Alligator mississippiensis: one gene and its partners. The protein of the gene in region 4 interacts with the protein of the main gene of each other region in a pairwise test. Links are inferred from orthologs where the notes say so. Each region holds a gene or a part of one and is shown on either strand. Other genes may lie near its edges. The genes, in order: KIF13A, AP1G1, AP1M1 and AP1B1.

What was found.
Region 1: the proteins of AP1B1 (region 4) and KIF13A interact in binary tests that used the Homo sapiens proteins (3 or more experiments, as listed by UniProt). The link is inferred for Alligator mississippiensis from reciprocal best matches to the Homo sapiens genes AP1B1 and KIF13A.
Region 2: the proteins of AP1B1 (region 4) and AP1G1 interact in a two-hybrid assay, tested with the Homo sapiens proteins (2 studies listed by BioGRID, with this or other methods). The link is inferred for Alligator mississippiensis from reciprocal best matches to the Homo sapiens genes AP1B1 and AP1G1.
Region 3: the proteins of AP1B1 (region 4) and AP1M1 interact in a two-hybrid assay, tested with the Homo sapiens proteins (2 studies listed by BioGRID, with this or other methods). The link is inferred for Alligator mississippiensis from reciprocal best matches to the Homo sapiens genes AP1B1 and AP1M1.

What each region holds. Positions count from the first base shown.
Region 1 is NC_081826.1:127,634,162-127,641,372, reverse strand, and holds the start of KIF13A (kinesin-like protein KIF13A), read right to left. Parts: upstream 3,011-7,211; 5' UTR 2,682-3,010; coding exon 2,627-2,681; intron 2,118-2,626; exon of another isoform or gene 1,933-2,117; intron 1,134-1,932; coding exon 1,040-1,133; intron 1-1,039. UniProt on the Homo sapiens protein: Plus end-directed microtubule-dependent motor protein involved in intracellular transport and regulating various processes such as mannose-6-phosphate receptor (M6PR) transport to the plasma membrane, endosomal sorting during melanosome biogenesis and cytokinesis.
Region 2 is NC_081833.1:77,568,207-77,576,188, reverse strand, and holds the start of AP1G1 (AP-1 complex subunit gamma-1), read right to left. Parts: upstream 3,005-7,982; 5' UTR 2,887-3,004; intron 2,800-2,886; exon of another isoform or gene 2,696-2,799; intron 1-2,695. Other genes in the region: ATXN1L (ataxin-1-like), read left to right, coding at 3,621-5,747. UniProt on the Homo sapiens protein: Subunit of clathrin-associated adaptor protein complex 1 that plays a role in protein sorting in the late-Golgi/trans-Golgi network (TGN) and/or endosomes.
Region 3 is NC_081839.1:225,078-232,959, reverse strand, and holds the start of AP1M1 (AP-1 complex subunit mu-1), read right to left. Parts: upstream 3,005-7,882; 5' UTR 2,940-3,004; coding exon 2,898-2,939; intron 1,973-2,897; exon of another isoform or gene 1,809-1,972; coding exon 1,652-1,808; exon of another isoform or gene 1,270-1,651; coding exon 1,202-1,269; exon of another isoform or gene 1,115-1,201; intron 1-1,114. Other genes in the region: protein FAM32A, read right to left, coding at 4,016-4,084, 5,861-5,914, 6,177-6,315, 6,406-6,482. UniProt on the Homo sapiens protein: Subunit of clathrin-associated adaptor protein complex 1 that plays a role in protein sorting in the trans-Golgi network (TGN) and endosomes.
Region 4 is NC_081833.1:26,528,794-26,535,801, forward strand, and holds the start of AP1B1 (AP-1 complex subunit beta-1), read right to left. Parts: upstream 3,011-7,008; 5' UTR 2,920-3,010; intron 1-2,919. UniProt on the Homo sapiens protein: Subunit of clathrin-associated adaptor protein complex 1 that plays a role in protein sorting in the late-Golgi/trans-Golgi network (TGN) and/or endosomes.

The DNA of each region.
Region 1 (7,211 bases), on a different chromosome or scaffold from region 4:
CCAGTCAATTGCAATCAACTAGTTTCACGACCACTGCTTTACACAGATTTCAAAGCCAAGCCAAGCCAAAAAACAAAAAGCATCTACAGTTATTGGATAGGGGGGATAAAGTTACAAGACAATACCCATAAGCTATATCTACCCAAATTTCTGCTCTTAACTAAAAATATTTTTTGGAGCAACAAGTACAGTCAACAAGTAATTGAAAAGATCAGCACACAATGCAACTCTTGCTCTCACTTCCCCACTTTTTTTTTGCCCTATTTTGGGGGCGTGGGGAAGTCTTTCCTGTTCCGATCTATTTTTAGTTTGGTGCACTGGTATTTTGGACCATTTCCAAAAGTAGTCTTTATAGGGGCTTCACAACTAATGCCAACTTTCCCATTTATTTTAGCACACTCCTCTAGTACTTCATAGAGCAGCACAGCATTAACAAGGGATCCAGCAGTTCCAACATTTCAAATGCAACTATGCTGCAACCTAGGAAATACAGTCTTTAAAAAAAACAAAACCCAAAAAACAACCCCTAGCATCTGCAAAATTCAGAGCACTCTTCTGCTTTCGTAAATCAAACCTGAAGGTTACGGCAGCTCATTAACAGTGTCCCTATGACAGAAAGGGCCAAAACTATTACCAACAATCATAGCTGACCAATCATCTACCTTATCTAATAGTCAACGAAACAATCAACTTTGAACAGTGAAGTCTACAAGTGATCGCCTTGCGTCCACACACATAATACCAATGCTCCTAATTCCTCCGAGGGTTCCTGGAACCAGAAACTTGGGGCCTAAATCCAATGTCTCACTGATGCAATTCCATTGAGAATAACCCTAGTTTACAATGCTGTGAGCAAAAGAGCATCAGACTCCTTTCTAGCCAGTCGCAACGGCCTCCAAAAGAGACCCAGAGTGATTTGAGAAACTGCTGCTCCTTTAACAAAAGTGCTCAAACAATTCAAGGTCCTAACCCACTGCTTCATCCAAGCTAGGCAGGGTCAGACATAGGCCGGGGGAAGCAATCTCTTTTGTGTTTTTACCTGTTTTCTCCCTGTTTGGTGTTGGAAGGCGGAGGGTGCAGCACAGTCTGATTCCCTTCCATCTCCACAATACACTTGGTATTCAAGTCCAGCTCTGGAAGAGAGCAGGACAGAAAGGGTTTTACCCACTGTCTGAGAAACCTCCACCTGGCCCCATGCACAAAAGGGGGGACACACACTCTCTCCACAAGGATTTCTGCATACCCTGCCCCTACACAGAGGGGGACAGCGCCACACAAAGTTTCTCCACAACCCTCTTCCCCCAGGCTTCTTCACACCCTTCCCCTGCACAGCACAGCTCCCTCCCCACAATGTGCCTTCTTTACATGGTCACCCTGCAAAGGACAGCCTGCCTCCCCCCTACCCCCAGGGGTTCTCCACATCCTCCCCACTTCCCCATGCACAGAAGGGGACCCCCACACACAAACCCACACTCCAAAGGGCTTCTCTGCATCCTCCCTCTGCCCCCAGGCACAGGAGGGAACACACACTACACACATACACCCCTGCAAATCCCCACACACACCACAAGGGCTTCTCCATATCTTAACCTTACCTCCAAACACAGAAGGGGACATCCCTCCCCCACAACACACAGGGCTTCTCCACATCCTCCCCCTGCTTTCATGCACAGAAGGATACACCCACAAATGCATACACGTGCACATTCACAGGGCTTCTCCACATCCTCCCTTTACCCCAATGCATAGAAAGGGACACTCCCCGTGCACATGTGCATGCATGCACGCACGTCCCCCAGGGCTTCACCACATCCTCCCCTCACCCCCATATAGAGATGGGAACACCCCCGCACACACAAATATATACACACATGCACATGCCTAGAGCTTCTCCACATCTCCTTATTTCCATGCAAAAGGAGACATACATACCTACATCAGCATGCACACATGTACACAGAGCTGTCCCGGGTGGGGGGTGGCAATTGGGGCATCTGTCCCAAGCCTTGTGCTTTGGGGGGCCCCATGGACAGTGCTGTACAGGCCCAGCCACAGCCACCGTGTGCCACCAGCTCTGTTGCAGCAAACCGCCAGCTCCATGCTCTGGCCGCTCGCCACCCGTCCCCCCACCCTACTTACATGCCCTGGACTTCACACACCCCTAAGGGATGGCTCTGCACATACACACACCCCCAGCTTCTCCACATCCTCCCTCTGCTCATACACAGAAAAGAACAAGCCCATTAACGCACCCACCTTTCTCCACATCCTCCTCTTACCCCTATGCAAAGCAGTGGACAACCCCAGGACACACACAGATGCACAGGTTGTCCATGTCCTCCCTTTGCACAGAAGAGGACACACGCGGTCACTCACTCCCCCTCCCCCCCCAGCGGGTTCTCCACATCCCCCCTTCCTCCCGTGCACAGCAGAGAGCACCCCCACACTCCCTGCCCCCCTTCTTCAACCCTTACCCCATGCCCAGCAGGGCGCGCACACGTCCCCCGACGGCACCCCACCCCGCAGAGAGCCCGCAGGGGACCCATGGCCGTCGAGGGAGGACAGGACTCCGCGCTGCCCCCGGCCCGGCGCCCAGGAGGGGGGTAGGGCGGGGGTTGGTGCTCACCTCGGCGGTTCATGGGCCGGACCCTGACGGCCACCTTCACCTTGGTGTCCGCCATGGCCAGGCGGGTGGGCGGCGGCGAGGAGGACGGTCAGCGCCTCAGCGGCCGGGGCTGCCGGGCCATGCCGGGTGGCTGGGCGAAACGGCGCCAGTGATGGGGCAGCCCCGGCCGCCCCCGCCTCCTCCCCTCGCCCTCAGGCCGCGCCCGGCCCCCGCCTCGCCTGCTCAGCGGCACCCGCCGCCATCTTGCGGCCGCGCCGGCCCCGCGCCCAAACCTCAGCCCTGGAAGACTGGACTGGGGCGGGGGGGGGGAAGACGGGGTACGGACGCCTCCGGAGAGAGCCGAGTGTCTTCGGGAACCGAGCGAGGGCCGGGGCGGGGCCGCGGGGCCCCGCCCAGCGGGCACCACCTCGCCCCACCCACAGCAGGCGTCTCCGCCTCCCGAGCATGCGCAAACCGCCCCCCCGGCTCCCCACACCTGGTGCGGATATCTCTGAGCATGCGCAAACTAGCCTCGCCCATCCCCAGGTGCGGATGACTGAGCATGCGCACACTGCCCCTCCTCCCCTCGTGCGGATGTTTGCGCAAGTGCGGTTGGCCCGTCACGTGTTTGCGTCGCACTTCGTCCCGTGTCACGTGCTCAGAGCTGGGCTCTGGAGGGCAGTGAGGAGGGTGGGCAATGGGGAAGGGGTAGAGCAGGGTTAGTTTAAAGCAGGAAGATTAAGGAGGGGTGGGCTGAGGTGTGGTCTTTTGCAGCACACCTCTTGGCAGAAGGGCTGCAGAAGGATCTAGAAAGTTTAGCAACTGGGCAACTGAATGGTGGGTGAAATGCAAGGTAGCTAAGGATCAAGTGAAGCACCAGGGCAAAAAAAATAACCCAAACTATCCCTACACTGTGATGGGGGCTACGTGATGGGTTGCCACAGGGGAAAGATCTGGGAATCATGGTGAGCTACTGGCCAAAAACAACAGCTGACTACCCAGCAGCTATTAAAAGGCAAACAAAATGTTACGATTTAGTACAAAGGGAACTGAAAATAGAATAGAAGTGATTACTTCGGGGATCTGGGTCTCCTCTGTTTTAAAATCACAAATTCTTTGATAAAAACACCAAACTGCCACTGCCCACCCCTGCTGGTACCCTTTGCTCCCCCCATAGCCTCCCCCCACTGTTGTTTATGCTCCTCACTCCCACCCTGCAGCCCCCCAGCCCTGCCAGTGCCCTTCACTCACAACCAAGAGCCTCCTGCCGCTCCAGCCCTGCTGGAGGGGGCCCCTAGCTGCCAGGGCTACAGGGCCAGGAACCTGGGTCCACAGCCCCCTGCCTCCCACAGCAGCGTCAAAGTCCCAGTTGTCGCCTATAGCAGGCAGCGGCTGCTGCGGTGGAGTGGAGCGCGGAGCCCTGCTCTCCCTCCCATCTGGGTGTCATAGGTTCATAGATTGTAGAGTCAGAAGGGACCACAACAGAATATCATGTCTGACCCCCTGCCTCTGGCAGGAAATAGGACTGAGGCCAGATGACCCCAGCCAGGTGACTATCTAGCCTCCTCTTGAAGACTTCCAAGCTAAGTGATAGCACCACCTCTCTTGGAAGCCCATTCCAGATCCTGGCCACCCTTACTGTGAAAATGTTCTTCCTAATATCTAACCTAAATCCAATCTCAATTAGTTTACACCCATTATTCCTAGTCACTCCCTGGGGCGCCTTAGTAAACAGCTTCCCCTATTCCCCGTTGACCTCCCCTAATAAGTTTATAGGTGGCCACAAGATCTCCCCTCAGCCGTCTCTTGTAAAGGCTGAAGAGATTCAGCTCTCTCAGGCTTCCCTCGTAGGGTCTATCACAAAGGCCGCTAATCATGTGAGTGGCCCTCCTCTGACCCATCTCCAGATTCCCTGCGTCCCTCTTGAAGTGCGGCACCCAAAACTGGACACACTACTCCAGCTGCAGCCTGACCAGTGCCGCATAGAGGGGGAGCATCACCTCCTTTGATCTATTAGTCATGCACTTGCTAATGCACAACAAGGTGTGATTGGCCTTGTTGATGGCCTCGTTACACTGCCAGCTCATGTTCATCTTGGAGTCGATTATGACTCCAAGATCCCTTTCTGCCTCCGAGCTGCTGAGAAGGACACTCCCCAACATATAGGTGTGCTGGGGGTTCCTCCTTCCCAGGTGGAGTACCTTACATTTATCTTTATTAAATTGCATCCTATTTCTCTCTGCCCATTGATCCAACCTGTCCAGGTCAGCCTGAATCTGCTCCCTGCTCTCTGGTGTACTAACTTTGCCCCATAACTTGGTATCATCAGTGAACTTGGAGAGGTTGCTCTCCAAGCCCTCATCCAAATCGCTGATGAAGATATTGAATAATATCGGTCCAAGGACCGAACACTGCAGGACCCCACTGCCCACCTCCCTCCAAGCCGAGAAGAAACCATCCACCACCACTCTCTGGGTGTGGTCCCTAAGCCAGTTGGCCACCCACCTGACCGTGTAGGCATCCACTCCGCAGTCTGCTAGCTTCCCAATGAGGATAGGGTGCGAAACTGTGTCGAAGGCCTTCCTAAAGTCCAGGAAGATGACATCAGCCTCGGCTCCCACGTCCAGGCAGCGTGTGACCTGGTCATAGAAGGCTACAAGGTTTGTCAGGCTGGTTCCACCTGTGACAAACCCGTGCTGGTTTCCCCTCAGCATCGTTTCCCCTGCCGGGCCTGCACAAATGTGTTCTTTGATTTGTGCGGGCCGGGCCCCGATCCCGCCCTCATCGCCATGTGCGGCGGTGATTCCGATCCCATTCTGGCTGCCATGGGCGAGCCGGGGGCGAACCGGGGTCGTACCGGACCCGTACTCGTTGCACACAGGCTGTGGCCAGCAGCCCGGGCACATGGGGCTGGAGAGAACCGCGGGGTGGTTTAGCGCACGTGAGTTAGAATTAGTTACGGAGGCATAATGGTTGATTGAAAAGATTGTTTACTTACGCCCAAAGATGGTATTGGTGTAGGCTGGACAGGTTTCCAGGCACAGCTCCCGCTTGAATCCTCGTTGGAGGACTCTGACAAATCGATTGCTCCCACGGAGTTTGCTAGGCTCCGTGGGTCCGGTTAAATTGGGTTCGAAAAGTTTCCCCGGAGTTACTTAGGCTCCGCAGGTCCGAAGTTACAGGAAAGGGATACGTCTAGGATTGCGCTCGGCGACGGGGAGAGGCGAGAAGTGAAAGCTCCGTAGGCTCGGTTCTATTGCCTCTATTGCCTGCTTAGGGGAGGCGCGTCGGGTCCGCGAGGGTCCGCAGCGCTTGGAGATCTTCACACAGAATCTCTCTCGTCCTCCCTCCTCCGGCTTGGGCGGAAACTACCCAAGCCTTTTGTACGGCTAGCAAGCCAATCGCTAGCCGCCACGTGGGCCTATATTAGGAATGGGCCAATAATGTGGCGCGAATACGAATACAAATGGCAGGAACTTCTTTACAGCGTGCATCACTATGATGCAAAAGAGATGCACACTGCAAAGAAGCTATAATCTGGCGGGAAATCCCCCGTTGCACCAGAGTTCTCTCTTGCAGCAGAGAACTCTACCGTGCAAAGAAAGCGACAAATTGGAGGGAAATAATTTAGCGATGCCGAAGCGCACATACAAACAAAAAATCACAACTTTGGGTTGTGACATCCCCCCTTGCTGAGAGCATAGCTAAATTATGCCACACTCTTTCGAGCAATCTAGAAGTTTGTCGTGATCATCCAACGAGTAAACAAGCCATCAAGCAAATACACAAACATAAAATTCGCTGTCCTGGGATCAAGTTACATAACAATCAAGAAATAATAATCAACATAAACACAATCTGATTCATAACAAAATTGCACTATCAGGGCTTCAATGGGCATCGTGGCGAGGTCACACGTCTCCTCACTCTCCTCAGTGATGTCATCTCTCTTAAGGCTCCTCCTCGCCATACGCTCTGAATTCCGGATCTGTAAACAGAAAACTCTCAAAACAGATTAATGACCTATTTTAACAAACTTAAACAATTTTAAACGATTCCTATGGCTTAATTAGACGAGATCGTCGAAGATTCATCATCTGGTTCTTCCAAATACCGGAAACCTAACTCATAAGCTAATTGCCATTGGCCTGCATCCCCTAAAATCCGAAGCTGCCGCTTGTTAAGTCCAGAACGCTGTAGGAAAAATCCAAACATGTATCGCTCCTCTAGGTTTCTCGGTGGCAGTGGTGGGAGATCGGATCCACGTCATCTGGTGCCCTGAGGCCTAGTCAGGTGTTGACAGTCCCGATCATAAGACAATCTTGGCTCCATCAGGATACGCAGTCTCAGCAATTGACAAAGAAGATTACTCTTTAATCACATTTAAATTCCGTAGCCATAAGATCTAGCCATGAAATTATAGCCTCTTCAGATTCCATCTCAGATTCTTTATAACATTGTTGTAGATCTGTCCAAGCACGAATGCGACTAGTGATGACATCTCGCCCATCCGTTGCCGGGCCAACCGTGATTGCAGGGCAAGCTGTTTTTTCGGGAGTCAATGTTGTTAAAGGCTGAACTGCTGCCGCGGGGGTTACTGCTGCTA
Region 2 (7,982 bases), about 51 Mb from region 4:
AGACAGCATTCTTGCAAGCCAGGCCTTTAACACCCTCACAAAGGAAGCAGCACTCTTCTCCAGCAGCATTAAAAAAAATTGAAGCAGCAAGAGTCTTCTGAAGATAAAACAATTCCAGGTGGCCCAAAAGTGGAGGGGGGGAACCAATATTGTTCTCTATGATCTTTACTGTGCATAAGGCTCAAGTGTCTGCATCAGGACAGGTTGGCTGAACAAGTGAATATTACCCCTTTAGAAGCTAAGCAATGGAGAGCGGAGGGAGATCACCAAGGCCACACCATAAATCAGTGAGACAGGCAGGATTACAACGCCAGAGTACCCACACCTCAGTCACCACAACCATGCTGCCCTTTACTGTTCTCCTCTGTTCCTGCTAATACGATCAACACTCAGCTCTGGTTTCCGATATACAGATGCATCTTTTCAGCTCCAGAGCAGACCCCAGAACCTCTGGGCTGCTGCTCTAGCCCAGCAGAGAAGAACCCTTTTTCAAGGCCAGATGGAAACCCTGGGGCTCACGGTGCACTGCTTAGGCAGCATCACTGCATGCTGTCAGGTGACCTCAGCCAAAGCCCAGGAAGCATGACCTTCAGAGCAGATGTAGCCTTCAACTTCCCCAGTCCATTCAACTTGTGGCCTCTGCCAAACTACAAGCATGGAGCCAATTACTGCCACCTGTAACACAAGGAGGGGCCCACAAGCAACTCAAGCACAACTGTCTGGCACATTCATCAGGTGACCATGACTCTTCACCACTTACCAGCCTCAGCTTGATTTGCTACATGTCCTGCAATTACCAGCACCAAGAATCCTAATCCAATAATGTAGCTGCCGACACAACAGTAGAGCAGACACTTTGCCCTAGAAAGCATCAGAGAAAGATCTAAAATAGGCCACTCCAAACAAGTTTGCCTATTCCTAGCACGGTAAGAAACCGAAGGTCAGTTTCAGGCTATGGAAATCACCAAAACCTCAGAGAGGGCTTAAACAGCCACTCTCAAAGGGAACGTAAGTTTTCCTTGCTAAGTGCCAAAAATGTGTTAAGAAGCTTCTACCACTTAAGGTCCAGAGTGACTTTCCAAATCTAAAACATGAAGAATCAGTGCAGCACCTGCCTAAGTCTGCTACCATCTCTAGGGCCCGGCTGCTCTCCCGAGCTTTGCCAAGGAGTCGTGTGAAAAGTTCCCAGCCTCCCTCGCTGTCTGTGATGTTATGCAGGACCCTGTGCAGGGCGCTCTCCAAAATCAGACTGCCTTCTCTTGCCGTTTGGCTGGCGTAGGCAGAAAGGCAACACTGGCTTTGTTCACTGGAGCAGAAAACCCTCCAAACCAAGAGGAGTTCAGAACAAGGACAGGCTAGCAGAGAAGTCATTCCCACAGCAGCCACCAGCCTCTTGTTAGGGCCAGAGCAAAGTGCTCATTTTCTCCCTTGTACATCCTAGGATGAGGTCTCAAACCTACCAGATACCTAGCAGGAGGAATATACATGTGAGATCCAGGAATCACACCCATGTAGGAAGGTGAACTCCCAGCCTAAAGGAGAAGCAGAGGGGGTCCATGCTGCTCATACTTGGGAGAGCAAAACTTCTCACCTCAGTTGAACTCTCAGGTGTCTGGTAAAGTGAATCCCCCACAGAGAGCAGATGCAAGCAGATAACGAGAAGCGAGACAGGCAGAGAGAGAGAGAGAGAGAAAGACCGTGCACACAACAGGGGGAAAGGAACAGGCCCTGAAAACAGATAAAATAAGCTTCCAGTGTAGCAAGAGAAAACAGATGCTGAAGCCAGGGAAACCAAGTGTGAAACACACCACAGCCAAAAAAGAAAGCAAGTTATTTTGCAGCAATATATTAAATAGAAAAGTGAAATCTGTAACTGCTCTACTGCTGTGAGCTGCAGTGCTGGGGCCCGGGGCGCCACGGAGGAAGAGGCACCGCCAAGTCGGGGAGTAAGCAAAGAAGCATACACCCCAAGTCGCCAGCACCCCCGGGAGACCCGTTTCCACACCGCTGCCTCGCGCGTCGCACAACGGCTACAACCAGCGCCGCCACGTCGGAGCCGGTCTCCAGGAAAAACACGCTCGCTGCCGGCGGCGAAGAGGCTTTTCCCCTGCCAGTGAACGCAAGCCGAAACAGGAAGCGGCAGTCGCTGTAACGCGCGCGGAGCTGGACAAGCTCGAGGGGACGGTGCCACCATCCCAGGATCCCTCGCCGCGGCCGGCCAACGCGACACGAGCGGCCCCACGGCTTCGCCCCTCGGGACGTGTCGCAGGCGCCCGTCTGCACGCGCAAAATCGCCTGTTCGGGAACAGTCGGCCTGCAGACCGCCGCGCGCGGGCCGGAGCGGGACGCGCACGCCGCATGCGAGCCCCGGGGCGAACGCATGGCCCGCTGCGGCCGGCACCCTCCAGTCCGGAGGGACCCCTGCGAGAAGAAATACCTATCGCCCCCGAGACAGACGTGTAAAACCTTCGTCCGCTTCCTGCTGGTGCCGGGAAAACCTGTCCGGGAGGGGACAGGGAAGGCAGCAGAAGCACACGAGGCGCTGGGAAAGCCGAGGACGGGACGGGGAAGGCGGGCGCGGCTGCCAAGCAGAGCAGGGCCGGCGGGGGCCGCGGCGGGACGGGGCGGGGCAGAAGATCGAGACGGGGCGGGGCGGGGCGAACACCGGGGCTCGGGGCGGGGGGGCCGCACTCACCGGGCCGGGCCGGGCGCCTGCAGCGGACGAGGCGGCGGCAGGGCCAGGCGTTCAAAATGGCGGCGCGGCGGCCTCAGCACCGCTACGGCAGGCGGAGGGATCCGCGCCCTCGGGCGGCGCCCGCTCGGCACCCGCCCCTGCTCGCCCCTGGGGACGCCGCCGCAGCCGCCGCGGCCGCCCCGCGCACTCACCTCGGGCGCGGCGGGCGCGTAGCGCGGGCGAGGGCCGGGCCGGGGACTCCTTTTCCCGGCGGAAGCGCCGCGTTCTCTTGTGCGCGGAGGCTGCGCAGCGCCGTGGCAGGCAGTGATGACGTCAGGCGCTGATGGCCGTGGGTGTCGCGGCTGTACCCGTCCGATCGGGCCCCCCGGCCCCGCGCCAAGGTTCCGCCCGCCAGCCGGCCCCGCCCCTTCCTGTCGCCCGCCGCCCACTTCCGTCGCGCCCCGTGCCTTGCCCGCGGCCTCGGGACAGCCCGTGCGGCGCTGCGGGCCTAGGCCAGGTGGCACGAGCCCAGGGCACCGGCGCTGCGCGGAGCCCGCTCGGGCCGCCGCGCGCTGTGTGATGTGCTCGACAGGCCGGCCCGGGCCCGGGCGGTGCCCGGTAGCCATGGCAACACAGAGCCAAACGTCATTCCCGTGCGCCCCAGCCCCCGCGGGGTGAGGCGCTTCCGGCGCGCGGCCTACACGTCATCGCCGCGCGCCGCGCCGCGGGGAGGGGTCGGGTCGGGTCGGGCCGGGCCGGGCCGGGCCGATGGGGGCCGGGGCGGCGGCGCCGGGCGATGGCGGGTGAGTGGCGGGGAGGGGAGCGGGGTCGGGGCCGGGGCCGGGGGGCTCGGCGGCGGCGGCGCTGACGCTGTCCTCCGCCCTCCCCCCGCAGGTGAGGCGCAGGCGGCGGCGCGGAGCGGCGGGGCCCGCGGGCCGGCGGCAGCATGAGGCCGGCGCACGAGCGGAGCCAGGAGTGCCTGCCCCCCAAGAAGCGCGACCTGCCCGGCGCCGCCAGCCACGACGCGGCGCGCCCGCCCCTCGGCGCCGCCAACCACGCGCCGCCCGGCGACGGCCCCGCCTGGGCCCGGGGCGCGGCCGCGCGCAGCCCCGCGCCGCCCCCGCCGCCCTCGCGCTACGGGCCGGCCGGGGAGGGCGCGGGGCCGGGGCCGGGGGCCGAGGCGGGGCCGCCGCTGGAGCCGTACGGGCTGCTGTACAAGGTGGCCGTGCCGCCCGCCGCCTTCCCGCCGCCCGTGGTGAGCATGAGCCCACTGCCGCCCGCCTTCGGCGTGGCCTCGTCGCTGCTGCCGCACGCAGGCGTGCCCTACCCGCCGCTGCACTACGCCCAGCTGCCGCCCGCCTCGCTGCAGCTCGTGGGCCCGCACTACACCGTGCCCTACGCCGTGCCGCCCGGCTTCCTGCCCGGCCCCCTGCTCTCGCCCTCCGCCGGCCTGGGCGCCTCGCACGTGCCCCACTTCGTGCCATACACCTCTCTGCTGACCGAGGAAGCCGCCGCTGCCGCCGCCTCCCCTCCGACTACCTCTCCCGCCCACGCCTTCAGCAAGCCTGCCTCTGCCCTCTCCCCCTCCAGCCAGGTCCAGCACCATGCTGGCGCCCAGCCTTTGGACATAGCCCAGGGGAGGCTTCCTGTTTATTACCACATGTCCCGGCTGCCCCCGGGCTTCTCTGCGTACGAGATGTCTGCTGCCGCTGGAAGCCCGGATCCTCCCGCGCAAGAGAATCAGCTGAATTCGGACGCAGCGTCTGCCAATGGCGGGCAGAGACATCTAGAGCATCACGTGGTGCGGAGGACTGGCGAGGCTGTGGACTGTGCCAGCAGCAAAGCCGAAGCCCAGCTGTGTGGGGCGGCCGTGGAGTGCGTGTTGGATGGACAGTTCCTTTCAGGTTACCAGACTCTGAGAGCAGAGGTCTCTGTGCCAGCTCACAGAAGCACCCCGGATACTGACCTGGAGGTACAGAGGGTGGTTGGGGTGTTGGCCTCTCAGGATTACCCGATTCTGGCAGCCCAGAAGAAGGATGGCCTGAGCCCTTTAAACCTTTGCCATAACATCCCTGATCAGCAAGGGGAGTCTGGGGACTTGTGGAGGAGTCCCATGGAGGCGGCTGCTGCTGCTGCAGAGAAGAGCCAGCCCAGGAGCCCATATGCAATGTCCCCCGAGGAGCCAGCCAGATACAGACAGCTAACCAAAGGAATGGCGATAGCCAACGGCAAGCCGGTTTTAGTGCCGGTCGGGTCCGAGCCCATCAGGTCTTCCTCCTCAGAGACCCTGATACGGCAGAGTCCCAACACACTGGCCCGGGGGAACATGCTGGACAAGGATTTGGGCCCGGTGCAGCCCCCCAGCTCCTCCCATCTGCCTTCCCATTTCATGAAAGGAGCCATCATCCAACTGGCCACCGGAGAGCTGAAGCGGGTGGAAGATCTGCAGACCCAGGACTTTGTGCGCAGTGCAGAGGTGAGCGGGGGCCTGAAGATCGACTCCAGCACAGTCGTTGATATCCAGGAGAGCCAATGGCCTGGGTTTGTCATGCTGCATTTTGTAGTGGGGGAGCAGCAGAGCAAAGTGAGCATCGACGTGCCCCCAGAGCACCCCTTCTTCGTGTATGGCCAGGGCTGGTCCTCCTGCAGCCCGGCGCGGACTGCCCAGCTCTTCGCCCTGCCCTGCCACAGGCTGCAGGTGGGGGATGTCTGCATCTCCATCAGCTTGCAGAACATGAATGGCAACTCTGCTTCTCAGGCGACCTGCCCTCCCGCGACCCAGCTTGTGCCTGCCAGGGAGCGAGCTGACAGAATGGTGCAGGGGTCCAGAGAGCACCCCCCTGCACCTCTGCACAGTGAGAGGAAGAGCCAGGCAGAAAGGGACAGCGCTGCCCACGCTGCCTGTGCGGAGCCCTCCCAGCCTGAGCCGGGTGGCCAGCACAGCTGGACAGCCCCCAACTTCCAAAGATGTACCACGCAGGGGGAGGAGCCCCGGCCATCCCTGCTCCGTCCCTCCTTCATCCCCCAGGAAGTGAAGCTGTCCATTGAAGGGCGCTCGAATGCCGGGAAGTAACGCTGCGAGGCCCTCACCTGGGTCATGCCCCTGGCTGAGCCCCCCTTTGTCAGGTGGAGATTTTGCACAGACTGAGCGACGGGTTGACCGGCGAGGCTGCTGTCTGCCTGCAGAGCTGGTTCGGTTCCTGTTCAGTCACTGATCAGATCCTCTCCTGGAATCCAGAGGGCTCCAGTGCCTCAGGGAGCAGCAGCAACAGGCGAGTTAGGGATGGAGGATGGGGGATGTGGTCATGGCTGTGTGGCCACAAGCATTCCAGAGCTCGGGGCTCTCGCACGCCCCTGAGTGCCTGAGCGTCCTGCAGGCCGGGGATGGAGCACTCGGGGGTGGGGGCGGGAGGGGCGGACCCAGGAAGCCACAGCCCAAGGTAGCAGATACAGTATCGGAAGTGTTTGTTCCTCTCTATGGTGGTGGGGAGCTGGGTCCCTGCGGGGGCCAGGGGCACCGCTCCCAGCCTCCCCACTTTTCACACATGCACTTTAAAAGGACACTTCGTCACATGTTGAGCTCTTGGGGTGGGGGCAGGTGTTTCTCCGACAGCCTCTCCCTGACATGTCTCCTCCACTCAGTCCCATGGGACTTTCTGCTAGCAAAACCCCTGCAAGCGTTGAAGGAAACCAGAGAGGGAGGGCCAGGTTGGGGAGTGGGGTGTGGGCAAGTAGGGGCCTCAGGCAGCTGTGCTGTGGCAGGAGGTATTGGTAGTTCCTGTGATAACGCCAAACGCAATTACTTGCCACCGAATCTGAGTCCGATGGTTGTGTTTCCTAGTGGCAGGTGCTATAGCAAAGGAGCCGGCGAGGCTGCATTTCAAACCTCCCTTCGCATGTGCTTGCTTCCAAGGAAAAATCCCTCTGGCTCAGATGTCCCATTCCTGGGCTCAGCTGCAGGCAGGCTTCTGGGCAGCTGGAGCAGCAGCGAGCGTGAGAACCTGTCCTTCCACTGGGGAGCACGAAACTGCAGCCGAGGGAAGTCTGCCCGGTGGCTGCTCGCCCCCTCCAGGCGAAGTCCCCAGAAAAGTTACAGACATGGAAGAGCCACGTCTAGGCCAGGCATTCACTGCCACCAGTCATTCAGGAGTGTTCAGAGTAGCGTTGCCACCCCTTGGGCCATGTCATAGGTGTCTTTGTGCCGGCTGTGCTGGGGCTTCTTCCCTGGGTGCCAGTGCCGAGCCACCCCACAGAATGGAGACCAGTCATGGGGAAGGTGGACATGGGCTGAAGCTGAGGCATCATTCAGGGATAACGCTGTACGGGCAGCACTCAGTCATGCCGGCAGCCTTGCATGGAGCTGCCTCGGATGGCATGGGTGTAGGGGTCAAGAAAGGACAAGACCCAGGCATTGTCTGTGCAGGAGTAGACATTGTGTGGTGTTCAGGTTGTCAGCTGTGTCCAGATCCTGCTGCTGAGGGTGGGTGTCTCTTGGAGGGCACATGCCCTGATCCCCTTGCTGGGATTCTGCTGCTCTCACCCTAGTTCTGTTACCACTCTGTTGTTTTCAACCCTGGGCTTGTCTCCTGCTTGGAGGCACCACCCTGCCTGGGCAGGGCGCTCAGCACCCCCTGAACCTCTGATCTGTCCCATGTTGTTTTGCAACACTGGTTGCAGCTGTTCCTGGGAGCTTGTTAATATTCACTCAAATCCCCCTTGATGTGCCTCAGACTGAGCTGGCCCTGGTGCTTCTACAGTACACGGGAGCCCAGTGCCCAGAGCATGTCCCCTCCCACATGCCTGTCTCCTGCCTCCAGCCCTAGGGCCCCAAAACACTCCTGGACACGGTTTCTGTTGTTTCCAAAGTATCAGCACCCGCCTCTCCCCAGGCGAGCAGTCACATTCCCTGCCGTATTGGTCCTAAAATCAGGAGAGTATCGCAAGCCTTCATGCCTGTGGCCTTGCCCAGGCACAGGTGCTGACTCTGCAGCTTCCCAGGTCAGGCCACCCGTCCTTGTAATCCCATGGTCTAAAGCCTCAGTGACCTTGCCTGAGCTTCCTGTCCCCTGGGCAGCAGCAGCAAAGAGGTAGCCGCCTGCCCTGTACTGCACCATTTGGTCCAGGTGCCCAGCTTGTGCCTAAACATTGTCCCTCCTGTTCTGCTTGCAGCTTGTAGGCCTGCTGTGTCACAGGTAGGCAGTTGGCCTGTGGCTTCCGGCAGTCTAAGGCAGGGGACTAAGCAAGGGAGAATGTAACCATGGCATGGCTGTAGTGGTATGGACAGAGACTTGTGGTTGTGTGCAAGGTG
Region 3 (7,882 bases), on a different chromosome or scaffold from region 4:
GCATGCATGCTCAGGCATGGGAGGGCACATGCTCCTCTGGATTTTTATGTGGGGTGGAGGCGGGCTGCCTGCTATGGACTCAGGGCTCTCTGCCCTGCTGCCTTTGCCCAGGGAGCTGTGCGCTAGCCATATGTCCCTTGCCCATCTCCCAGCAGTGGGGGTGGCAAGTTGTGCCTCCTGCTGCCAGGTGGTCAGGGAACACATGGCCAGTGCACAGCTCCTGGGGCAAAGGCAGCAGGGTAGAAAGCCCTGAGCCCACAGCAGCTAGCCCACCTCCACCCTACTCCTAAAAGCATCCCCACACTTAAAAATGATGGCGGCAGCACTTGAACTAAAGCTCATTTAATGAGCTTTAGTTCAAGCACCCCTGCTGCCATTTTTAGGCACCGAGATGCTCATCCCCTGAATGAGCTGCCTGCAGCTCCATCCTGCTCACTGCCCCAGCCCCAGGGTCCCATTCATTGCCCTGCTTGGGCAGTGTTTCCAGCCCCAGCCTCTACCCTGCTGCCTCCCACACTGTGGGGGTTTTGATCTGCCCCAACCCCTTCCTTCCACCATGTCCCTTTCCCTCCACAGACTTACCTGTCGGGAGCTGCTCTTGACACTGCCCAGCTGTGTTCCTGGAAATCGGTTATTGGATCGGTATCAGCCGATATGCCTCTTGAATAATCCCCTATTGGTACCGGCCAAGAAAGTCTTTATCGGTGCACCCCTAGTCACATCCATATTTTCAAGGCTGACTGCAAGTAATTGTGCAACAATATTCCTGTATCTCCCACTTTTGGTTTCCTCTACAGTAACTGTTATGTTTGTTTCCTTCCCTGTTCCTGCCCCTTATATCCTTTTTCAGCTCACCATGCCACTACATTTTTCTAATCTTTCCAATGCTAGTTGTGCATACAAAGCAGTTGTCCCAAAGATGACCTTTCCTTTTGGGCTTCCTATTTTCCTTTCTGGGTATCTTTTAGATTATATGCTCTTTGAAATGAGGAAGGTATTGATTTTTGTTTTTGTCAAAGCCCTTCTGATGTGCAATAATAAAATATTAGTAGTTAATGCAAAAGGATCACCAAAATATAACCATAGCATAATTAGATGTACTATTTCTACGCAGCAGTAAGAATTCAAAGACCTCTAAAGCTGTAAACAACAATATGACTTCCCTGAAAGAACAATAGTACTTTATCAATTGTGTACTCACTTGAACCACCTTATAGAGGAATGAAAACACCAGAGAGACACAAGCATTCTTCTTAGAAGTTGCAACAACTGAAAAAAGTAAGTTTAGGAATGTTTGTTCAAAGTTCCCATTTTTTTAATTTTATTTTTAAATCCCTTTTCAAAAACGTTTACTAAGGCACTGTAGCTGACCCAAAAACTCAGGAAACCATTCATTAGGTATGCCATTTCATTTCTAAATGCTGAGCTACTGAAAAGCAAAGACAGGTAAGCATTGAGAAAATACTGGTTGCACTGGCACTTAAACATATATATTTTTGGTTCATAGGGTATTTAATGGGAATTTGACCTTAACTGTTTTTTATCTCTGCAAAACCTTCCCCCCCTCTCCCCCGCCATGCTGACTTCCATTGTGAAAATTCACACGGTCAACATTTCCACCCTATTAAGTAGCCTATACTCCAAAGGATACGATATAAATTGTTATGTTTAATCCACATAAAACGAACTCCTCCATGAGCTAGAATGGGGGAAAGTGTTCCTTCTTCTTCCTTTTCCATAAGGATCGGCATAAAATGCTCAACCTCTGACATATCGACATCTCCACGGTAATTTCGACAGATGAGGACCTGCAATGGATGAGTACAATAGAGAACCAAATGGACAACACACCTGAAGTGGTCATCTGAATAACATACATGACCTTTGGAAATGGAGGTCAACTAATTTGAGTGACTAAAATTGATACTTGTATGGTGGAACCACAAACCACTTGGTTATTTAAATTACAAAATGCTTGTGGAAATCTTTTATTTACAACACACTGTATTTGATACCAAGACAAGATTTTTTTCCCATTTAACATGGGGAAAAAAACCCTTATCTTGGGATCAACTATTGTGAGGGGGAGGCATGGAGGGAGAAGAGTAGGCAGCTGCTGTGGCTGCAACCCTGACTGGAGGTTGGGCAGAGCTGCAGCTGCTGTCTTCCCCCCCAATCGCCTTTGCTGTGGCAAGCTGTCCCCACTCCAGTCTGGGACGCCACGCATGGCCACGGCGCTCTTGCCCCAGGATGGAGCAGGGGCAGCCCTCTGGAGCCAGGGTAAGCAGGGAGGGGTGGCCAGAAGGGAGCAAAGACAGGGCCCCAAGGTGGTGGGAAGTGAGGTGGCGTGCCTGTGGGGAGCCTTTCGCCAGAAGGCGACAGGCACAAAGGGATCAGGATGCAGGGGGCTAAGGGTGGTGGGGGTGAACGACCGGCAGCAGGAGGCAAGCTGCTCCAGTCCACCCCCGCTGGCTGCCCCCCCCCCCATCTGCTGCTGCAGCTGGGTGGGTGGGGGAACAAGTTTGGGGCGACTCTCCAATTAGATTGTATACATGGACCGAGAAGTGTTGCACCGACAGAACGGCACTGCTCCGCCGTGAGGAGGGTGTGCGGACGCCTGGCAGCTAGAGACGTGCACAAACCCGCCGTCAGACAGCACAGAGCCTGCGCTGCCGCTCGGCAGAGAAGCGAAACACGCCCCTTGGGACTCAGGGAAGCCTGCGCGCAGCGGAGCGGCTCCCACCGGCCCGTGCTCCTCGGGCAGCGCCGCTGCCAGCCCTCGGGGAGGGGAGGGGAGGGGCGGCCCGAGAGAAGCCGGCCTGTCCTGCGGGCCCCGGGCGGCAGGACATGGGGAGGCGCGGCCGGGCCGCCAGGGAGCCGCCCGCAGCCAGGCCTACCTTCCCCTTCAGGTCCAGCACGTAGACGGCGCTGGCGGACATGCTGCCGGCTCCTGCCCCCCGCGGCCTCGCCCGCGCACTTCCGGCCGGAAGTAGCCCCGCTTCCGCCCCCGCCGGAAGCTGTGAAGCTCGACCCGGCGCGCGGGGCGGGGCCTCGTCCCCTCTTCCGGGGTTGGCGACGCGCGCGCGCCGCCATCGCTGTGAGGTCCTGGGCCGGCCAGCGGGGGCGGTGCCGGTGCCGGGAAGGCTCGGCAAAGAGGCGCCGGGTCAGAGCCTTCCGCTCCGGTGCTCAGTTGTCCCCAGAAAGCCGCGCTGCGTTGTGCTGAGCCGCGGGCGGGCCCTGCCCAGCACAGGCAGCAGACAGCCGAGAGCAGTAACTGAATTCCCACTGCCGCTTCTTCTGTGCCACGTCTTACACGCGCTGTACACGAGCTCGGGGGCCAGCGAGGAAGTCAAAGTGCACAGCAGGATTTGGGGGCTCAGAAAGGGGCACCGTTCACGTGCGAGGGAACAACCCCAACGTGCGTTTACAAGGTGCTCAGAGCTGCATTTATGGTTCCGCTAAAGACGGCAAACACAGGCTAGCAGGTACAGCCTAGCTCAGAGGAAAAGTGCTGTCAAGATCCCCTCCTCATCCCCTACACCAGGTACATTTTTTAAAAATTATTTTAAATGCAGTTTTTATTTGACCTTCTAGAGTTTCTAGAAAAGTTATAAACAGATTACAGGTTTATAGTACCCAGGGAGGAACAATTCAATAAGGTAACTTGTCTGCATCTAAAAAAAGACTGTCAAAAACATTTGTTTCAAAAGAAGGCACTGTCAACCAGTGATCGTTACACCCTACATATGAAATTTCTCCAGAAGTTTTCCTACAAACTCTAAAAAAGGGGACTTCTGCAGATAAATGGAGGATTAGGGCCTTTATTCATTGTTCAGTAAAGGTGGGGGTGTGCTGTACATATTTCTAAACAAGCACTTAAAGAGTACTGCCAGCATGCAAAAGTTTTTTAAAAAATGAATTAGGTATCCAATGCAGAGATCACAGAAATTTACGCTAGGCAAATCCTCCCAATATAAATGCTTCTCATAATCCAGAACCGAGTAAGAAAAGCTATTCATTTAGTCCAGCTGACTTTGGGGATGTCATAGTGTTCAGTCAGAGTATCCAAGTGTCTGTTAAAATCCTAGGAGAGAAAAAAAAAGTGTGTGTCAACTTTCTGGAATATTGAACATGCTTTCTGCCTACTTTAAATTTAGTAATTCCAGATTAAATGAGTTGAAAATTTAGGTCAGTATCCCGTTAGTCAGCATCTTGTACCAGGTGCCACCAAGAAAGGTGCCAAAAAGCTGTACAATAGACAGTTATGCAATGGATAGCCCAGTTGGCTTTTGATCTGAATCATGTGGATTTATATCTCTAACATCCTCTCATTATAAAATGATTAATCCATTTTTTGAAACCCACTGAATTCTAGGCTTTAATTGTATCCTGTGGCTGTTAACCATATGGGTTAGTTACCTTTTAGCAGCTTTCAATTGGTAGCCTTTTAAATTTAACTGAATAATTCTGTGTTCTTGTATTTAAAGACAATACACGATACCAATCAAATTTACCTTTCTTAGCCCACCAGTTTGATGTGTTCCTCTATTATCAACTTTTCTTTCTGTAAAGATTATCCTAATCCATCACATTTCATTACATTCATGCCTCAGTTAGTCTGGTACATATTCCAATATCTGATGGCAAGAACTTTTGGTTCCAAGAGCTTTTGGAAAAACCTGGGAAGCCATGGGTTTCCTTCACAGGCTGGCACAGTTCCAGCCTGCAAGGGGCTGTGGGAAGCAAGACACAGGGTGTCACATGCATGTGTGCGCATAGAAATGCATGCATCAGCTAGTCAGTGTGGTAGAGAGCATCTCCCGCCAGGTACGTCTATGGGGACACAGGCAACAGTCGTGGGGGAAATGTACAGGTGATGCAGAGGCGGAGGGACAGGGCTTCAGCTGGGCCAGACCAACTCTGGGCAGAAGGTGCCTCCCTCCACAGCCCAGCAGGCGGGTCCCAGAGCGAGAGGGAGCGATGCAGTCCCATGGCTGCCAAGGTGAGGCACAACAGCAGCAGAGGCAGAGACTTGTGCCCCCTGCTGCTGCTGGGGAGGCAGGGGGCCTCATCTTGGCAGTGAGGTGCTCTCTCCCATGCTGGGTCCCACCTGCCGGGCTGCATAGGTGGCTCCTGCCCAGAGCTGGTATGGTCAGGCTGCAGCCCTGCACTCTATGCCCTGCTGTGGGCACAGAAATTGGGCAGCACATGCCCACACCCCACCACACTGCCTATACCCACTCCCTCCTTATGCACTGGGGGGCTGGGGGCAACAGATCAGGAGTGAGGTGCACCAGCAAGGCCCGGGGACTGTCATCTCAGTGCTACAAAGCAGTGGAGGGGACAGCCACAGCTGGGCCTACATCTTGTGAGCAAAGGGGGCAGGGGGAATTCAGATGTTCCATGATAAAAAAACAAAATCAAATGCTAAAGTATATAGGTATTTAGAATTTATTTTATGACTGAGGCACTGGTAGGCCTCCAAATTGCTTTAAAAAGTAAATATATCAATAAAACATGATGTTGAACTGATACCATATAGATAGTAGCACTTCATTTTAATCACGGAAAAATGCTGACTGCAGGTTACAACTGGAGAACATTGCCTCTTATCAGAGAAACTGATTTTTAAACAGAAAACCAGGATGCCTGCTAATCACCCACCACTGATTCCTGTTAAAAAAGCAAGCAGAGCCCAGAACATGCAAGTTACAGCTTTCATATTACTTATGGCAAGAGATTTTTCCAGACAAACATATTAGAACAATAACTATTTGAATTGCATATCCTGACAGGTGGATAATTTGGACTAGACAGCAAAGGGAACACACACTGTGAACAAGGCTAATCGTATCCTCACCTCAACTCTTTGTTTGTGGGTCTTGGAAGCCTTCTTCAGGATTCTTTCCATTTGCTGAGAAAGTGAAAACAGACACAGGTCGCTGTCATGCTAGCTCCTTTCACCGCAACAAAACACCTCCCTTTTAACCTGCACTTTATCTTTTCGGGGAAGTAACCTGGGTCAGGGCCGCTGCGAGTGCGCAGCTCCGACTCCCGCAGAGCGCGGACTCGTGCGGGCGGGCCGGGGCTCTGCGGACTCGCCCGTCCACCCACCCACCCGACCCGGGCCCCGCCGCTCGGTGCCGGCAGCAGGAGCCGCCCGGCCCGGCCCGTACCCTCTTCTCTTGCATCTTCTCATAGGCGAGCTGCGCGGGCGTGCGCTTGTCCAGGCCGCGCTTCTTTTCCTCCTCCTGCTTCTTGCTGCTCACGGTTTGGTCCCGGATCTTGCTCTTCTCCTTGTCCTTCCTCTTCTTCCTGCGGGGACAGAGCCAGAGCGGCGGCATGAAAAGTAGCGCGGGAAGCCGGGCGCCCCCGCCGCCCTCCCTCGCCGGAGGAGGTGCTTACCGCCGGGCCGCCGCCGGGGCCTCGCCGCTCGCCTTGAGCCGCAGCGAGCCGCGCTGGACGCCCTCGTACTCCGCCATGGCTCCCCCGAGTTCGCGGCACTTCCGGGTTACGGGTGGAGAGCACTTCCGGGCCGCGCCCGCCAGGCGCGTCGGGATAGGCTGCGCTGCGCGGCGGGGCGGGGCGCCATGGCAACCAGCCCAGCCGGAGTGAGGGAGCGCGCGCGCGGCGCCGGCCGGCGGGAAGCCCGCGGCTCCCGGGACCTGCAACAGCCCCGGGCGCGCAGAGCTCCCCGCGGGGACCGTCCTGGGTGCAGTCCCGGAGAGAGGAGGAGCTGTGGGGCACGGCCAGCCCCCACAGACCCCGTCTGGGCCCTCCAGTGCCCGCCCCGGGCAGGCCGACAGCCCACAGCAGCCACCGCCCTGCGGCTGGCTGCAAGGCAGAGTCAGCTGCAGGGATCCCTGAGAGAGGGCCAGGGACACGGCAGAGACCTGGGGGGAAGTCCTTTCTGACCCGCGGAGGGCCAAGACTTTCCGTGAGTCGCAGCCTTGGCTGCAGCGGCTCTCCGCCTCTGAGGGAAAAATTCCCTCCTGGCCCCATATGGGGCCCAGAAAAGCCCTGAAGCCTGGGCAGTCCCCACAGCAGAGCGCAGGCGTGGCACGCACAGGTCCTCTCCGACCATTGCCCATCAGCCTCGCGGACAGGCTCCAGGTTCCCCAGATGTCTGGTCCGCTGCCTCTGTTTTGACACTGAAGACGTTTTTCCTGACATCCCCATCGAACCCTCTGCTGTAACCGACGGGTCTGTGTCCAACTCTGCACCCAGAGCCAGAGGGCATTTCCCTCTTCTAACAAAGGAAAGTTTCCTATATCCCTCCCTCCCTCCCAGTATGTTTTCAGTTTTATACCTGAAAGGCCGAGAGGGATCAGAGTATCAAGATAACGCCTAGTTAACACTGTTAAAACCAACAGTGGGGCAAATTCTTCTCAAAATTATGCCCACCAGATAAATATTATAAATTGTTAAATAACGGGTGTATAATTTACACTTTTCCATTTTAGCAAACATGTCATAAATATATTGAAGACATGATCCTTGGTTTTCATGGGGAAATGAGATAGTTGCATTTATTTTGTTGGTTTAACTTAATTATAAATTAGCAATTATGACTCTGCAACAATTAATTTCAAATGCTCTTTAATGGAGACAATCAAAACTCTAATTACTAGCACATATGGGGTTGATTTTGAGGGGGGGGGGTTGGTTTTGTTTACAGTGGCTTTTAAAAAGAAAAAGACTTTGGACTTTAGGGATGGTCCTGCTTTGAGCAGGGGGTCAGACTAGACGGCCTCCTGACGTGCCTTCCAACCCTAAATTTCTATGATTCAATGATACTGTAATCCTTTGTTAGGGTTCCTGCTGACGCTGACTATTAAAGGAAGGAAGATATTCCTAGTGCTTTTAGCAGTCTGCATTTTTT
Region 4 (7,008 bases):
AAACCATGCACCAGATGGACAAATGGAAGTCAGCACCATGATAAGCTTGACCCTTTGGCTCTCAGACACAGCAAAGCAGACATCCTCACCATCAACACAACACCCTTCATTCTCAGGCTATCTGTACATGAAGGAGCATGTGGCAGGACTGAAAACTGCTATTATTTACACAGGATTCATCCACCCCCACTAAGAAAGTTTAGCACAAGAACAGGGCTTCGGGACTGAATGGCTTCTAGGACTGTAGGCAGTAGCAACTTTTCCAGAGAGAGAGAAAGTCAACATCTATAAGCCTGAAGTCAAGGCTATATACAATAAATTAGGAGTGCATCAAAAAAGATTTTCTTGGCTGGTACCAATAGCCAATTATTCACCAGGCATATCAGCTGATACTGATCCAACAGCCGACTTACAGGAGCACAGCCAGGCTGTGTGGAGAGCAGCACCCTGGAGGCTAATCTGTGGAGGGGAAAGGGCATAGGGGGGCAGATCGAAGCCCCCACGGTGAGGGAGAGAGTGGGGTAGTGGCAGGGAATGGGACAGAAATACAGGCAGCTCATCCAGAGGATCAGTGTCCCAGCACTTAAAAATAGCAGTGGGGGTGCTTGAACTAAAGCTCGTCAAATGAGCTTTAGTTCAAGTGCTACCACCACCATTTTTAAGCACAGGGATGATATTAGGAGCAGAGCCAAGCAAGCTGAGGGCAGATGCAGACCACCCACTGTGAGCTCAGGGCTTTCCACCCTGCTGCCTTTGCCCTGGGAGCTGTGCGCTGCCTGAGCCATGTCCCCTGCCCACCCAGCAGCAAGAGGCACAACTCACCACCCCCACTGCTGCTGGATGGGCAGGGGATGTGCAGCCAACATGCAGCTCCCTGGGCAAAGGCAGCAGTGTGGGAAGCCCCAAGCCCACAGCAGGCAACCTGCCTCTGCCCCATGCATAAGTCTGGGGGAAGAATATGCCCCCCACAAACCTCTCCCAGAGGGGCACACAGCAGCAGGGAGCCACCCCCACCCCTTGGATGAGCTGCCTGTGGCTCTGTCCCACTCTCCGCCCCAGCCCAAGTCCCATTCACCATCCTGGCTGGGCAGCATCCCAGCCCTTCCCTCACTGTGGGGGCCTCCATCTGCCCCACCCCCATACCCCTTCCCCTCTACAGACTTACCTGCAGGTCACTACCTCCTATGCTGCCCAGTTATGCTCTTGGTCACCTGCCCCCAGCCAAAAGGTGTATTTTATTTATCAGTACTTCTACGCAGCTAAATTTATTTTGCTCTGGTTATATTTTAGGTTTCTCTTGGCTTGTGACCTCTGATTGCCAAATAGTGTTGCACATCTTGTGTTACCGGTTGCACTTCCAATTCAAAGAACTGCTTTCCTCTCAATGTGAGGACCATCATGTGGATGGAGTAACTACAAGGGTCACAAGTTGTTTCCACGGAACTATTGCCTTCAGCCAACACAGTGGCACTACCAAGAGAAGACTCAATTAATGCCATAGTACAAATGATTTTTCACATCATGCAGTTCAGTGAACAGCCACATAGTAACAGTATCTTGCAAGTAAGTCATGCTGATTTGTTATCTCAGCCAATATCGCCCTTCATCTTGTAACAAACTCCAGGCTGTTTACCTTCAAATCATTAATATTAAGAATTTCATTCTGCCACTGAGGCTCTGCAACGCAGCAGCCTGGCATGAGAAAGACCTTGCAGCACCTGCTCTCAGCCTAGTAGGCTCCACAAGGAGGAGAAGCACGGAGGTTGATGGCTTCATAAAATTAATGATTCATGTCACTGACTTCATTTGATGGTGGGGAAGTGAAACATCTCTCCTTGCAATTCAGCTTTCACTGCTCTTATGCACAAGGGGGAACCCCCCCCCCACACACTTACCAGCCAATTTTATACACCCACACAAAACCAAATCCTGACAAGAGCTGCAAGAATGTGTTAGTTATCACCACGGGAAGGAGGAGAGAGTTACAGCAGGAACACATGGGAAGCCGACAGCAAACCTACAGGTCTACCTGGGCTGCTCGATCCCGCTTGTAGAAGCGGGCATGAATTCGAAGCCTGGGGGGCTGCTGCGCTCTGTACAAGAGATCAGGTTTAGAGTTTCAAAACGCTGCTTCCCAAGAAGTGAAGGGCTTGTAGGCTGCTTGCAGGTCAGCTTGAAGTTTCAGTTACAGATATCAGGCCAGTGTGGCCTTGCAGGGAAAAACAGTCGCGCATTATACACAAGGCCTTGCATTCCAAAAGCTTGTCTAGCTTAACCCACCTCCCTAGCAGGTCCAAGAAGAGACACTGCCCTAAGAAGCCCTTGCCGCTCACATAATTTCTGGACTATCGCAGCTACAACACTGCTCTTATGCCACCACCCCCCCCACACACACAGGAGTGCCAGCAGCACGGGACATGCAGATAGCACAGTACTCTGCTCGCTGGGGACGGTTACTGGCTGTGCCAAGGGCCTCGAACAGTGAGACCAAGCTCTCTTCTGAAGAGAGGAGTGTAAGGAGCAGGCAAGAGACGCCAGGGAGCGTGCAGGTGCAACAGGGTGGGGGAGCTGGGAAGCTGGACCCTGCCCGTATCAGCCACAGGCGAGGTGACCGCAGCTCCCCAAGGAGACAGCCCGAGCCCGACCCCCGGCCACAGACACGAGAGCAGCGATTCCGAGCCGGGGCCGCGCAGCCCTGGGAGCCCCGAGAGCCTCTCGCGGGTGGGTGCCCGCAGCGCCACCCCCGGGCGCGGGGCGAGCCTGAGGCACGAGGCGCCCCCCGGGGGCCGGGGCTTCCCGCGCGCCCAGGCGTCGCGTCCCGTCCCGCTCCCGGCGCTTCCTGCCCAGGCGCCGCAGCCCGAGCCCGAGCGACTCCAGCCCCGCCGCCCGCACGAGCCACAACAACAGCTCCGCTCCTACCCGGCGGCCCCACCGCTGCTGCTCCACCCGCGGCCGCCACTGCCCCCGGCCCAGCGGAAGTGAGGGCGCGCAGCGGAAGTGCTTCCGGGTCACGCGCGGGAGGTGGGTCTTGTGCGCGGGAGTGGGCGTGTCCCGCGTCCCGGGCCGCGCTCTGCCCGCGGGCCGGAGGCTGCGCAGAGCCGCCACGTGCGGCGCCAGCTGCACGGCGCGGGGGCCGCGGCAGGGGTACTGCAGACCCATGCCCCAGTGCCAGGGCACCATAGACCCGCTCCCGAGCTGTAGGTGGGGCGCGGAGGACGGGTGGCAGAACGGACTGCCCGACCCACGGACAGGCCCCACGTGCATGTGGCCTGCGGCTGGGTAGAGACTGCGCACCGCTGCTCTACTTCCAAATAAAAACCTACAATCCTCCATTGCTGTTGGTGCAGCCCAGTAAGGGAGGAGACTTTGAAGACAGGGATATGAGGTATTTAGTAAGGAGTAAATGAACGTTAGGCTAGAGTCCTGTGTCCGGTTTCGGGGGCCCCACTACAGAAAGGTTGTGGACAAATTGGAGAGACCCCAGCAGAGGACAGTGATAATGGTTCGGGAGCTGGGGGGCATGACTTCTGAGGAGAGGCTGAGGGAGCTGGGCTTATTTAGTTTAGAGAAGAGGAGACTAAGAGGGGATTTACTAGCAGCCTTCAACTACCTGAAATGGGGTTTGCAAGCAGATGGAGCTGGACCGTTCTCCGTGGTGGCTGATGACAGCACAAGGAGCAACGGTCTCAAGTTGCCACTGTCACAATCCAAAGTTGTGACTTCTTGTTTGTGTGTGCGCTTTGGCACTGCTAAATTATTTCTCGCCAAATTTGTCACTTTCTTTGCACGGTAAAGCTCTCTGCTGCTAGAGAGAGCTCTGGTGCAATGGGGGATTTCCCGCCAAATTACAGCTTCTTTGCAGTATGCATCTCTTTTGCATCGTAGTGATGCTCGCTGCAAAGAAGTTCCCACCATCTGTATTAGGGTCTACACCATGTTATTGGCCAACTCCTAATTTAGGCACACGTGGCAGCTAGCGATTGGCTTGCTAGCCGTACATAAGGCTTGTGTGGTTTCCACCCAAGTTGGAAGACTCCAATAACACCGGAGGAGGGAGGAGAGAGAGATATTCTGTGTGGAGATCTCCAAGCGCTGTGGACCCTCGCGGACCCGGCGCGCCTCCCCTAAGCAGGCAGAGAGAGGTAACAGAACCGAGCCTACGGAGCTTTCGCTTCTCACCTCTCCCCGTCGCCGAGCGCAATCCTAGACGTATCCCTTTCCTATAATTTCGGACCCCGCGGAGCCTAGCAAACTCCGGGGAAAACGTATCAGACCCGCGGAGCCTGAATACCTCCGGGGAAACTTCGAACCCAACTTAACCGGACCCGCGGAGCTTCAGCAACTCCGGGGAATAGACACCGGACCGAGCTCAATTTTCGCACCCACGGAGTCTTAACAGCTCCGGGGGCCTGGGAACCGAATAACAAAATCCGCGGAGCCTAGCAAACTCCGTGGGAGCAATCGTTTTGTCAGAGTCCTCCAATGAGGGTTCAAGCGGGAGCTGTGCCTGGAAATTTGTCCAGCCTACACCGATATCATCTTTGGGTATAAGTAAACAATCTTTTCAATCAACCGTTACGCCTCCGTGACTAATTCTAACTCGTGTGCACAAAATCATCCCGCGGTTTCTCCCACCCCGCGTGTCCGGGCTGACGGCCACAGCCCGCGTGTACCGGAGACGGGTCTGGTACGACCCCGGTTCGCCCCCGGCTTGCCCATGGCGGCCAGAATGGGATCGGAATCACCGCCGCGCATGGCGACGAGGGCGGGCTCGGGGCCCGGCCCGCACAGCCACAAGGGAAGTTTAGGTTAGATATTAGGAGAAACTTTCTCACATGGAGGGTAATAAAGCACTGGAACAGGTTACCCAGAGAGCTTGTGGACTCCCCATCCTTGGGGGTTTTTAAGACCTGGTTAAACAAGGCTTTGGCTGGGATGATCTAGGTGGGGATGGTCCTGCTTGGAGCAGGGGGTTGGACTAGATAGGATCTCCTGAGGTCCCTTCCAGCCCTCCTTGTCTGTGATTCTATGACTTTACTCTCTAGCAGAAGAGAAGTGGAGACATGATGCAGAAGCTTATACCAGTGTAAGTCACACTGGCATAGTTGCCCTGCAGAAAGTCAGGAGCATCTTCTAGACACCTGCATAAACTGATAGACCAATTCGGTGGTGCTCAACTTTCTAGCCCCTCAGGCTGGATCACACGGACAAGTTTGGTCTATGGGGCTCTCCACAAACCCAGAAGTTTGGTGGCAGGGAAATGGCAGCAATGTTAATTGATACAGCTCTGGAAGCCACCAGTAATGCTGCCACTGCTCCTGCTGTTCAATTTCCAGACCCGTGGGGAGCCCCATGGGTCAGATGACATGGTCCCATGGGCCAAAGGTTGAGCACCACTGGACTAGTTTTATGTCCGCTCCTCTAGTTAGTTTCATCCCAGGGCAGTCTTTTGGTCAAAGACCTTTTAGTTCCCCTTCTCCCTAGCAGCTGGGCACTGCAACAGCTCCTACCATGGGTGGCTAGCCTGGAAGAGCTGGTCCTGTGTCTTCTTGCTATGCAGTAAATTCCAGAATATATCACTCTCATGTTGTGTTGTGCTTGTGCCCTCAACAAATAAGAAATTAACTACAGATAACTGAGCCATAGACTTGCTGCCCCAGCATTTCCACCCATGGCTTGGAAGCACAGTCAAGAACACAAGAACATGAGAATTGCTATTTTCTGGGTCAGACGTATGGTCCAGTTTACCCAACTCCTGGGTCACACAAGGGCAGAGTATGGATGCTGAATGGGAGAGTGACCTGGGTGTGGCCAGGGTATTTTTCCACTGTTCCTCTCTCACTTGCAGCCTCCAGCATTTAAAGTCTAAGAAGTTCTGATTCAGAGGCTGTAGCCCTGACTCCTGTTTGTGCTCAACAACTATGGATGTGCCTTTCCTCCAAGAATCTAACCAATCTACTTCTGAATCTGTCTAAACTGTCAGCTTCCACAACACCTTGTGGCAAGAAGTTCCACACTAATTACAAGCTGTGTGAAAAATAATGTATTTTTGTTAGTTTTAAACTTAGTAGCAACTCATTTCATTTTGTGACCCCTAGTTCCTGTATTGTGAGGAGTGGCTGCGGCTACACAAGATGCTGACTGTACAGTAGCCTCATGCTACAGCGCAGTAGCATTGCATGGTAACAACCATGATGCAACCCTACTGCCCAGTATTATTAAGCTACTGCACAGTAGTTTCACGAAAAAGCTGCTCTTTGGTGCTACTGTGCAGTAACTCAGGTTACTGTGCAGTCAGCATCTTGTGTAGACATGGCCAGTAAATAATAAATCCTTATTTACTTTCCCTTCACTGTTTAGCATTTTGTAAACCTTTATCATGGGCCCCCTTCCTCCCAAGTGTCTTTTCTAAACTGAGTAGGCTTCGAAGTTGTTAAAACCTATAGGTACTTGGGTGTGATGTTTACAGCTTTTCCATCATGGAAACACTACATTCAGTCGGTTAAAACTAAGGCAGCCCAACTGGCAGTGGCCATAAAGAAATTTTATGAAACCACAGCAGGACAATCAGTCCAAGCTCCCATATTAGCACATAAAGCCAAAGTTGCGTCTCAGATCCTGTATGGTGCTGAAGAATGGGGCTATGCTGCCAGTAATGATGTGGATATACCTCAGAATAAGTTTCTCAGGGCTCTTATGGGTCTTCCTCCTCCAACTTCCACATCTGTCCTGAGATTAGAGATGGGATTAGATTCCATTTTAACTAATATTATTATTAGAATGGCGGGATTCTAGTTTAAAATCCTGCCTCTTCTACCGCCTTGCCTGCTCAAATTGTACTATATAGAAGACATCAAAAATCTCCCTTCACTTCAGTCTCCCGGCTAGCTGTTCTCTCTCGCACTTTTGCATTTTCTGGGAGAGGACATTATGTCAAAGACAATGAAAGACTCTTCTCCCCCAGAGAAAAGGCCTGGGTTTTCCAGACGCTCCGAGATAGTGCCAGGC